2 linked regions of the Nothobranchius furzeri genome follow. The protein of the gene in region 1 binds, or shares a complex with, the protein of each later gene. Links are inferred from orthologs where the notes say so. Each region holds a gene or a part of one and is shown on either strand. Other genes may lie near its edges.

The links.
Region 2: ercc3 (region 1) and polr2d share a complex: the UniProt entries of both Homo sapiens proteins name them as parts of the TBP-based Pol II pre-initiation complex. The link is inferred for Nothobranchius furzeri from reciprocal best matches to the Homo sapiens genes ERCC3 and POLR2D.

The regions. Positions count from the first base shown.
Region 1 is NC_091749.1:40,321,580-40,325,712, reverse strand, and holds the start of ercc3 (general transcription and DNA repair factor IIH helicase/translocase subunit XPB), read left to right. Parts: upstream 1-1,333; 5' UTR 1,334-1,476; coding exon 1,477-1,504; intron 1,505-1,684; coding exon 1,685-1,881; intron 1,882-1,965; coding exon 1,966-2,202; intron 2,203-2,281; coding exon 2,282-2,331; intron 2,332-2,409; coding exon 2,410-2,545; intron 2,546-4,035; coding exon 4,036-4,133. Other genes in the region: gpalpp1 (GPALPP motifs-containing protein 1), read right to left, coding at 1-122, 228-477, 583-648, 724-835, 937-1,021. UniProt on the Homo sapiens protein: ATP-dependent 3'-5' DNA helicase/translocase. Binds dsDNA rather than ssDNA, unzipping it in a translocase rather than classical helicase activity. Component of the general transcription and DNA repair factor IIH (TFIIH) core complex.
Region 2 is NC_091753.1:55,727,259-55,731,529, forward strand, and holds polr2d (DNA-directed RNA polymerase II subunit RPB4), read left to right. Parts: upstream 1-1,488; 5' UTR 1,489-1,667; coding exon 1,668-1,743; intron 1,744-1,937; coding exon 1,938-2,118; intron 2,119-2,190; coding exon 2,191-2,286; intron 2,287-2,393; exon of another isoform or gene 2,394-2,849; coding exon 2,850-2,928; 3' UTR 2,929-3,131; coding exon of another isoform or gene 3,132-3,351; 3' UTR 3,352-3,771; downstream 3,772-4,271. Other genes in the region: dual specificity protein phosphatase 14, read right to left, coding at 3,132-3,351. UniProt on the Homo sapiens protein: Core component of RNA polymerase II (Pol II), a DNA-dependent RNA polymerase which synthesizes mRNA precursors and many functional non-coding RNAs using the four ribonucleoside triphosphates as substrates.

The DNA.
Region 1 (4,133 bases):
GAGCGATCCTTGTTCTCTGGACCTGACCTTTTCTTGAAAGTACGAGCACCCAAACCAATGTGCTGCAGTTCTGGTGGGAGCTCTGTCATCCACGTTTCTCTAGTTACCACCTCTGGAACATCCTAATTACGCAGAGGACAAACAAGAACACATTAAGACACAAAGAAGAAACAGCCCCCTTTTATAATTTAATTATTATGAGGAGAAAAATGTTAGAGAAAAATTACCACTCTTGTTAGCTTATCTTTCATCCTTCGTGCCCTGCACTCAAAATCATGAGCAACAGAATCTTGAATCGGTCCTTTAGCAGGCATGGGTCCAATCACGTCCTCCTCCTCTCCCTCGCTGCTGGAGGGTTCGGGACAGTAGCCCCGAGGAAGGGCAGGTCCTGGAACAATTTCTTCCTCATCATCATCATCACTGTCATATTCAGTCCTGCAGAACCCAGGAGGCAGAGCTGGCCCCAACACAGGTGCCCTGAGAAAATACCATCACAAACAAATGTCACACTGTTATCCTAAACAGGAAGTGTCCTTACACGTGCTATTTATGTTACTAGAGAATATTGATGTTTCTGCTCACCTTTCTGGTGAATGTTGCTTTTTATATCCTGGAGGCAGAGCTGGTCCAAAGAACCCATCATCATCCCTGTTCAGAAACACATGTTAGTCAAGTTCGTTCTATTTCTTTTAACTAACAAATGAGACCAGAACCAGAACTCACTCTGCAGCTCTCCCAGTCTTGGCTCGCTTAGCTGCCACCTCTGGTTCACTTTCATCTGAGGAGCTAGACTGTTCACCCCGTTTATACCCAGGAGGTAAAGCAGGACCAGCAACTAGACGGCGACATAAATAAAACTGTTAGCTAAAAGTGAACAGAGCAACCCGAAAAGATCAATTGCCACAACACGTTAGCTTCTAACAAAACGTATCTTACAATCTTTTTCGTCAACGTCGTCCTCAGAGCTCTCATTTCCAAATATCGGAGGCAAAGCAGGTCCTATAATTTTATCAGAGGACATCTTTGCTAACAATTTCGTTACGTATTTTCAGGGGATATTAAACAAAACCTGTATTTACTCTATGGCTTTTAACCTAGGAAGTAAACAATAGAGCAGCAGCGGAAGTCTTCAAAGTGTTCTGCCAAAACAAATGCACCTGCTATTGTGATTTATTTTTAATTAAGATTTTAATAAACACATTTTTGAATAAGTAGTTTTAAAGCTTCGTAAATTGTATTAAACTATCGTAAATATAAGTAATAATCAACTGTACACTGTCTCTGTGGCAAAAACGGAAATATAAAAACTTTTATTTTGAAAGTTTTTGAACGGAAACGCTTGTTATTCAGAGCTCCACTTTAGTGCACAGTCTAGACATCGTTTATTCCTTCATATCATTTAAAGACACGTATTGTGTGTTTACCTAAATACATTTGGGACTATTTTTAAGACTTTACCCATGTAAACCTTTCAAAATGGGTAAAAAAGATAAAGGAGATCGAGGTAAGTTGGTAACGTTTCATTTTAATCTGCGTGGAGCTAGTCACCGAACGCTAACCTGCAATATACTAGCGCAAATACGTCTGAGCAAAATGTAGTTTTGATTCCATGGCATCTTAACATAACTACTGATTTTTAAAATGTTTTAGTAATGTTAATGATTGTTTTGTGGATCTGCTATAGAGAAGAAGTTCAAAAGACGCTACTATGAGGAAGATGACGATGAAGAGGTGACAGTCGGGGAGTCTCAGGAAGCTGTACCTGCTGCTGCAGGGAAGCAGGTGGATGAATCTGGCACAAAACTGGATGAATATGGAGCCAAAGACTACCGCGCACAGATGCAGTTGAAGAATGACCACAACTCCCGTCCTCTCTGGGTGGTATGATGCGTCATTGCTGCTTATAGTCACAGCTGTACCTCAGTAATCTCTTAGAGGTGAAATCTTGTTCTCACTTCTCTACAGGCTCCAGATGGACACATCTTTCTGGAAGCGTTCTCACCAGTATATAAGTATGCCCAGGATTTCTTAGTGGCTATTGCAGAGCCAGTGTGCAGGCCTAACCACATCCATGAGTACAAGCTGACTGCATACTCCTTATATGCAGCAGTCAGTGTGGGGCTGCAGACCACTGATATTATAGAGTACCTGCAGAAGCTCAGTAAAACATCTGTACCTGATGGAATCATCAAGTTCATTGAGGTCAGAGATAGACAGGATGTGATCCTATAGTAACAGTTTATTTTTTTGCTCATCTGTTGTATTTTTCTGCCTCTTTCAGCTTTGCACTGTGAGCTATGGGAAAGTTAAGCTTGTGCTCAAACACAATAGGTAAAGGTCTTTCGTCTCTCTCTGCAAAAACATTTATTTCTTCAGCGGTTTTATTCACTTGTGTTTTCCCTCTTCTAGGTATTTTGTAGAGAGCACCTTCCCTGATGTGATTCAGCGTCTCCTGCAGGATAACGTGATCCGTGAATGTCGTCTTCGCTCTGCAGATGGAGCAGACCCTGAGCTTATTACTGAAGTTGTCCACAGCAAATCAGCAGTATGTCATACTCCTTAAGGATCTGGATGTTGTGGGGATTTGTTGGTTGACGCAGCTCTGTAATATCTCGTGGACTTCGGGAGCAGTTCCACTGGATTCACAGACTGGGGTGGTGGTCCCCCTGTTTAAAAAGGGGGACCGCAGGGCGTTTTCCAACTACAGGGTGATCACACTCATGAGCCTCCCTGGTAAGGTCTATTTCAGGGGTTCTGGAAAGGAGGGTCCGGTGGATTGTCGAACCTCAGATTCAGGATAAGCAATGTGGTTTTTGTCCTGGCCGTGGAACACTGGACCAGTTCTTTAGGGAGGTTCTGGAGGGTGCGCAGGAATTCGCCCAACCAGTCTACCAAACCAGTGCTTTGTGAATGTGAATTTGGTGAAGGCTTTTGATTTTGTCCCTCAGGGGGCCCTGTGGGGGGTACTTTGGGAGTATGGGTACCAGGCCTTGTGATACAGGCTGTCAGGTCCCTGTATGACTGGTGTCAGAGCTTGGTCCACATTGCAGACAGAGATGGGCCATTCCCATCTGTACCGGGTTGGCCCGGGCCGGGTAGCGTAGGTTGTTTACATATCTGGGTGGCCTGGTATTTTTCCGGGCCAACCAAGGCTCATTCTCAGCCCTCTTCTCGAGGGGGTCTGCTTCAGGCCGACCAGGGCCAACACACCCACTGCTGACAGCAAATTCACACCTTCCATTAGAGCAAGCCTCTGATTGGTGGGTAGAATCAGCCCACATGGGCTTAAGACAAGGATGTTTGAAATCAACCGGGCCAGGCTGGGACCAACTGGGGCTACCCGGCCCGGGCCGACCCGATACAGATGGGAATAGCCCATAAGTTTGATCGTTTCCGGTGAGAGTTGGGCACCACCAAGGCTGCCCTTTGTCAGCGATTCTGCTCATAACTTTTATGAACAGGATTTGTAGGTGTAGCCAAGGTTATAAGGGAATCCATTTTGGTGTTCTAAGGATCAGATATCTGCTTTTTGCAGTTGATGTTGTCCTGTTGGCTTCATCAGAACGTGATCTCCAGCTCCTGGATGCCTCCCTGGTGAGGTTTTCCGGGCATGTCCAACTAGGAGGAGACCTGAAGGAAGACCCAGGACATGCTTGAGGGACTATGTCTCTCAGTTTGCCAGGGAATGCCATGGGATTCCCCTGGAGGAGCTGGCCCAAGTGGCTGGGGAGAGGGAAGTCTGAACCTCCCTGCTTAGGCTGCTGCCTCCGTGACATGACCCTGGATACGCAAAAGAAAATGGATGGATGATATTTGAATTTACAGGGGTTTGCAGAAGTTCAAAATAGAACTGAATGAAAATGTCACTGTGTTGAATGTTTTATTCTAGAGATGTATTTAGGAAATAATTAGTGTATAAAATGAAACATTTGGTAGATTTTTGGGAAACGTCTCCCATTTTCTTAAACTAAACCCCCGTTACGTAAAAAGTGTAAAATATTTATTTTTCCTATTACATTTCTCTTTTTTGGCCAGATTTCTAAGTTTGTTCAAGAAAAAGGAGACCCATCCACCTCACAGCAGCCTGTTGATGGACAGACCTCAAACCAGCAGGTCCCTGAGGACATCTTCAG
Region 2 (4,271 bases), on another chromosome or scaffold:
AGTAGACATTTTAAACATCACGCACAGAGATCATTGCGGAAGATCTATCAAGAAAAGATTCCCATCAGAACATCTGAGCATTATCTCAGACCTGGACATCATCAGCGCAGCTCTCTATCAGCTCCCTGAGGAGCTGTGAGAACGGCTCGGAGCGCGTCTGTGTCACAGGCCAGCAGCAGGTAAAATGTTCCTACCTTAAATTAAATTGTTTAATTGTAACATTAATATGTTGCTGGACACGCTGTTAGTTTGTTTAGACTAAATATTAATAAAAAAACGAATGAAAGTTAAATAGTGAATTTTTATGTGACAGAATGAAATGACTGTTTCCCCGTCTCCTCTGACACAGGACCAGTCTGCATGAGATATGGTCTCAAGGTCTCATGCATTTGCTTCTAACCTGCTTATTTTCAGCTCAACAGAAGAATGAAGAATGGACTATTTTCTTTTAATTAATCAAAGAACTCTATTTTAATAAAGCTAATCCAACAAAGTGTTAGTCAATAAATATGATGTGACCGATCTGTGAAATCAAAATATTAATTACTTTATTATAATCCTATAGAATATAATAAGTAATATGTATATATGTGTATATATATATGTATATATATGTATATATTGTGCCGTCGACCCAAGTGAGGCCGGTGTTCGGTCCGCCTCTGATGACAGTTGAACACGGTTATGACATTCAGGTAAAATCAGTAACCGAATAACGAATCGAAAGCAAACTTCTGCCATTAGACTTCAGTGTTGACATATTCATCCTTCCCGTTCGAAACTAACCGTAAGTTGATTTAGTCTAGAGCAGCTGGACAGTAGCTGGAAAAATGCAACCAGATGTAACGATCAGTTAAATGACACAATCGGTAAACCAAATTGAACATTGTCAATGTTTTAATAGGAATTTCTTGTGATGAACATCAAGTGTTGGTGGTATAGTGGTTAGCATAGCTGCCTTCCAAGCAGTTGACCCGGGTTCGATTCCCGGCCAACGCAAGTCCATTTTGCAGTAATTTCTTTTCTGTTACAGAAATATCCTGCAAAACAGCACAGGGTGCAAATACGCAGTCTAAATTACGGAGGAAGGGACAACGTCTCATTATAGTAATTTGGAATAACAGAGATAAAACATCAAACAGTTATCAGAAAATCATTGGTAATATGTCACCTATAAGCTGAAATCTGTGAAAGATCCCATATTAACCTCTTTTGCTGTTAACCGTTATTATTATGAATTTATTCATTATTATGAATGCGGATTTCCTAAAACTGCTTCCCCATCTTTAAAGCTTTTCTCAGTGACATGATCATTTATAAGCAGTTGATCTGAGCTAAAGCCCAGCTTGAGTAACAGTCTACCTGGTGGAGAACTTCATGCTACCCTAATTACTGCTTTTCTAATTAATTGTATTTAATTGGTTTTAAGTAGTTTTGTTGATCGTCTCGTCTTTGACCGTAGCAGGACCCTGGACCTCCGGTCAGCAGGGGGCGAACGGAGATCACGGGCGGAAGTAGCGGAAACAGCAGCAGCTAGGCGGAAGTACCGGTGTGTTTTTGTGTGACTGAACGAAACAGCGCGGGTTCTCTTCTTAAAATTCTTACCACGTGTGTCCAGCTCACGGTACCGAGACTCAACGGAACTCCGGAACGAGTCGTGGCCCGTTATGGCGGCCGGAAGCACGGCTCCTCCGCAGCTCGGAGACGTAGAAGAAGATGCGTCACAACTGTTGTTTCCCAAAGGTGACGACTACCGCCACCGCAGACCTGTGTTTGATACACCAGAAACGTGTGTGTGTGTGTGTGTGTGTGTGTGTGTGTGTGTGTGTGTGTGTGTGTGTGTGTGTGTGTGTGTGTGTGTGTGTGTGTGTGTGTGTGTGTGTGTGAATATAAAAAGGAAGTAGTATAGAGATCAGCTGTTTTAATTTCTGGTCCAGAGTTCGAGAACGCTGAGACCCTGCTGAACTCCGAGGTCCACATGCTGCTGGAACACAGGAAGCAGCAGAACGAGAGCGCCGAGGATGAGCAGGAGCTGTCCGAGGTCTTCATGAAGACCCTCAACTACACGGCCCGCTTCAGCCGCTTCAAGAACCGGGAGACCATTACTGCCGTGCGCAGGTTCGCCTTTCTTGCTTCCACTGATTTTCTGACCACCTTCTGGTTGTGACAAATCCACCATTTCTCCTCCAGTCTCCTGCTGCAGAAGAAGCTGCACAAGTTTGAGTTGGCTAGTCTGGCCAATCTGTGTCCTGAAGCTGCAGAGGAGGCCAAAGCCCTGATCCCCAGGTGAGTCAGGTAACCCACCTGGGGACCCACTGAATTATCTGCTCAAGGACCAGATAATTTAGGTGTTTCCAGGATTTTCCGTTTCAGAGGCGAATAAAACGATTACATTTTCTGTCTAAAACGTTTAATTTATTAGTAGGTGAAGAGCATTTCAAGCAATATGGCAAAAACACTTTTTTGAGACTCTAATTGATGTTGGTAACCATATTTATATTAGGATCTGAGAATGTTATCTCTGTAGTTAATTTTAGGGTTAATGTGTTGTTATTTATCTTTTGAAAGTGTTTTCTTTGAACAGCTGGGTTTAAAGCTTGTGAACACGCATCCTGCTCTGAGCAACAGGAAGTTCTAAACATGGAACAAGCTTGTTCCCATTCATTCTGGGATTTGTACTTAAACCCGGTCGCGTGCTAGCTCTACACAGCTTCATAGTAAAGCACTACAGATGGAACCGGTTCTGGTTCAGTTCAGCCCACATACATGTGGACCGGGTCAAAGACCAGGATCTGTGTAGAGAACTGAAGTTTCTGTCTGAATAAAGTTGGGATTGAATCTGTTTCCAGTGTGGAGGGTCGGTTTGAGGACGAGGAGCTGCAGCAAATCCTGGACGACATCCAGACAAAGAGGAGCTTCCAGTACTAAGACCAGAACCGACCCGCCGTGCTCTGCGATAATTTCTGCCCTTTTTTTGTTTTTGTTTGTTTGTTTCATGTTGGTTTTTACTCCTTCAAGTTCCTGACACCAATCCATACTAGATGGACAGAAGAGCTGGATGAAACCAACAGAGGAACATCTGCTTCCATGTTGTTTCCTGTTGGACCAGGTTCTGTCCCGTCAGCGCCTTGTCACACATTGACGCAGTACACTGCAGCACCCGTCTCCTCTGGCTCTTGTATTACTTCAGGCAAAACCCCAGCAGATGTCCTCACCATCTGCATCGTGTTCCTGGTAAACAGGAGCTTCTCGTAGTTCATCAGCTGCCTCCAGAACCCGGCGTTGGGTCGGATGAATGGCCGGCTCTCCAGAACCAGTTTGTAAGCCTGACGCAGGCTGAGACCGGTACCCCTAAAGAGACACATACCAGAACCATCAGACAAGTGTTAACCTGAGTGAGTCCCAGACAAACAGAACCAAACATAGCTGCACGGCACCCCCTGAGACCCCAGAGCAAACTTGGTGCTTCAGCTTGTCTTGTCTGGATTTCTATTGCCCTGAAAATAGGATGAAAGTATCCAGTGGTTCACGATTAGCTTCCAAAGTAAAAAAAAAACACCTTTCATCACACCTTCACAGTTTAGAGTGACACTGCACATCCAGGACCCTTATTTTGATTGATGTAGAGATCGCATAAGGAGTTTAATCTTAGCCTTTGTGTTTTTTATGACATTGAGCCAGCACAGCTAATGCAGTGGTGCAGATTGATCTATGTTGTATTTTGTTGTGCAAAACAGAAAAATAAAACCAGTGAGGTGGGTGTGAGTTAAAGAGCTTCCATCGTGTGTGTGTGTGAGGTCAACGCTGCCACCACCATCACCAACCAGGAAGCATAACGTGTAACATTATTAAAATATGGAGAAAAACCCGACTACGGCTGTAGCCGATTAAAGCAGGGATGCACAATATATCGTAACAGCCGATGTTAGTGATTTTTGACATATCGGTATCGGTCCGATGACTAAAGCTTGGTTTATGCTTGACGCATTTACTTTCCGCTTGGTGATGCGGCTCGCGGATGGAACGCGCTTCACAACTCGCAGCGTTTATGGTTCATGCGGCTCGTCTCTGCGGTGAGCCAATATTCTCCCAAACTGTAGGGGGCAGCATGGAGCTCTACGGCATGCATCCAACACTACACCATAGAAGTAAAAACTCATGTTGTTTACAACATGGCATTCCAGCATTTTTTAACAGCGTCCTCGTCTTTTCCGACAGTGTGAGCTATTTCTGTCCAAGAATTATTAACATGTTGATCACGGTGACCTCTG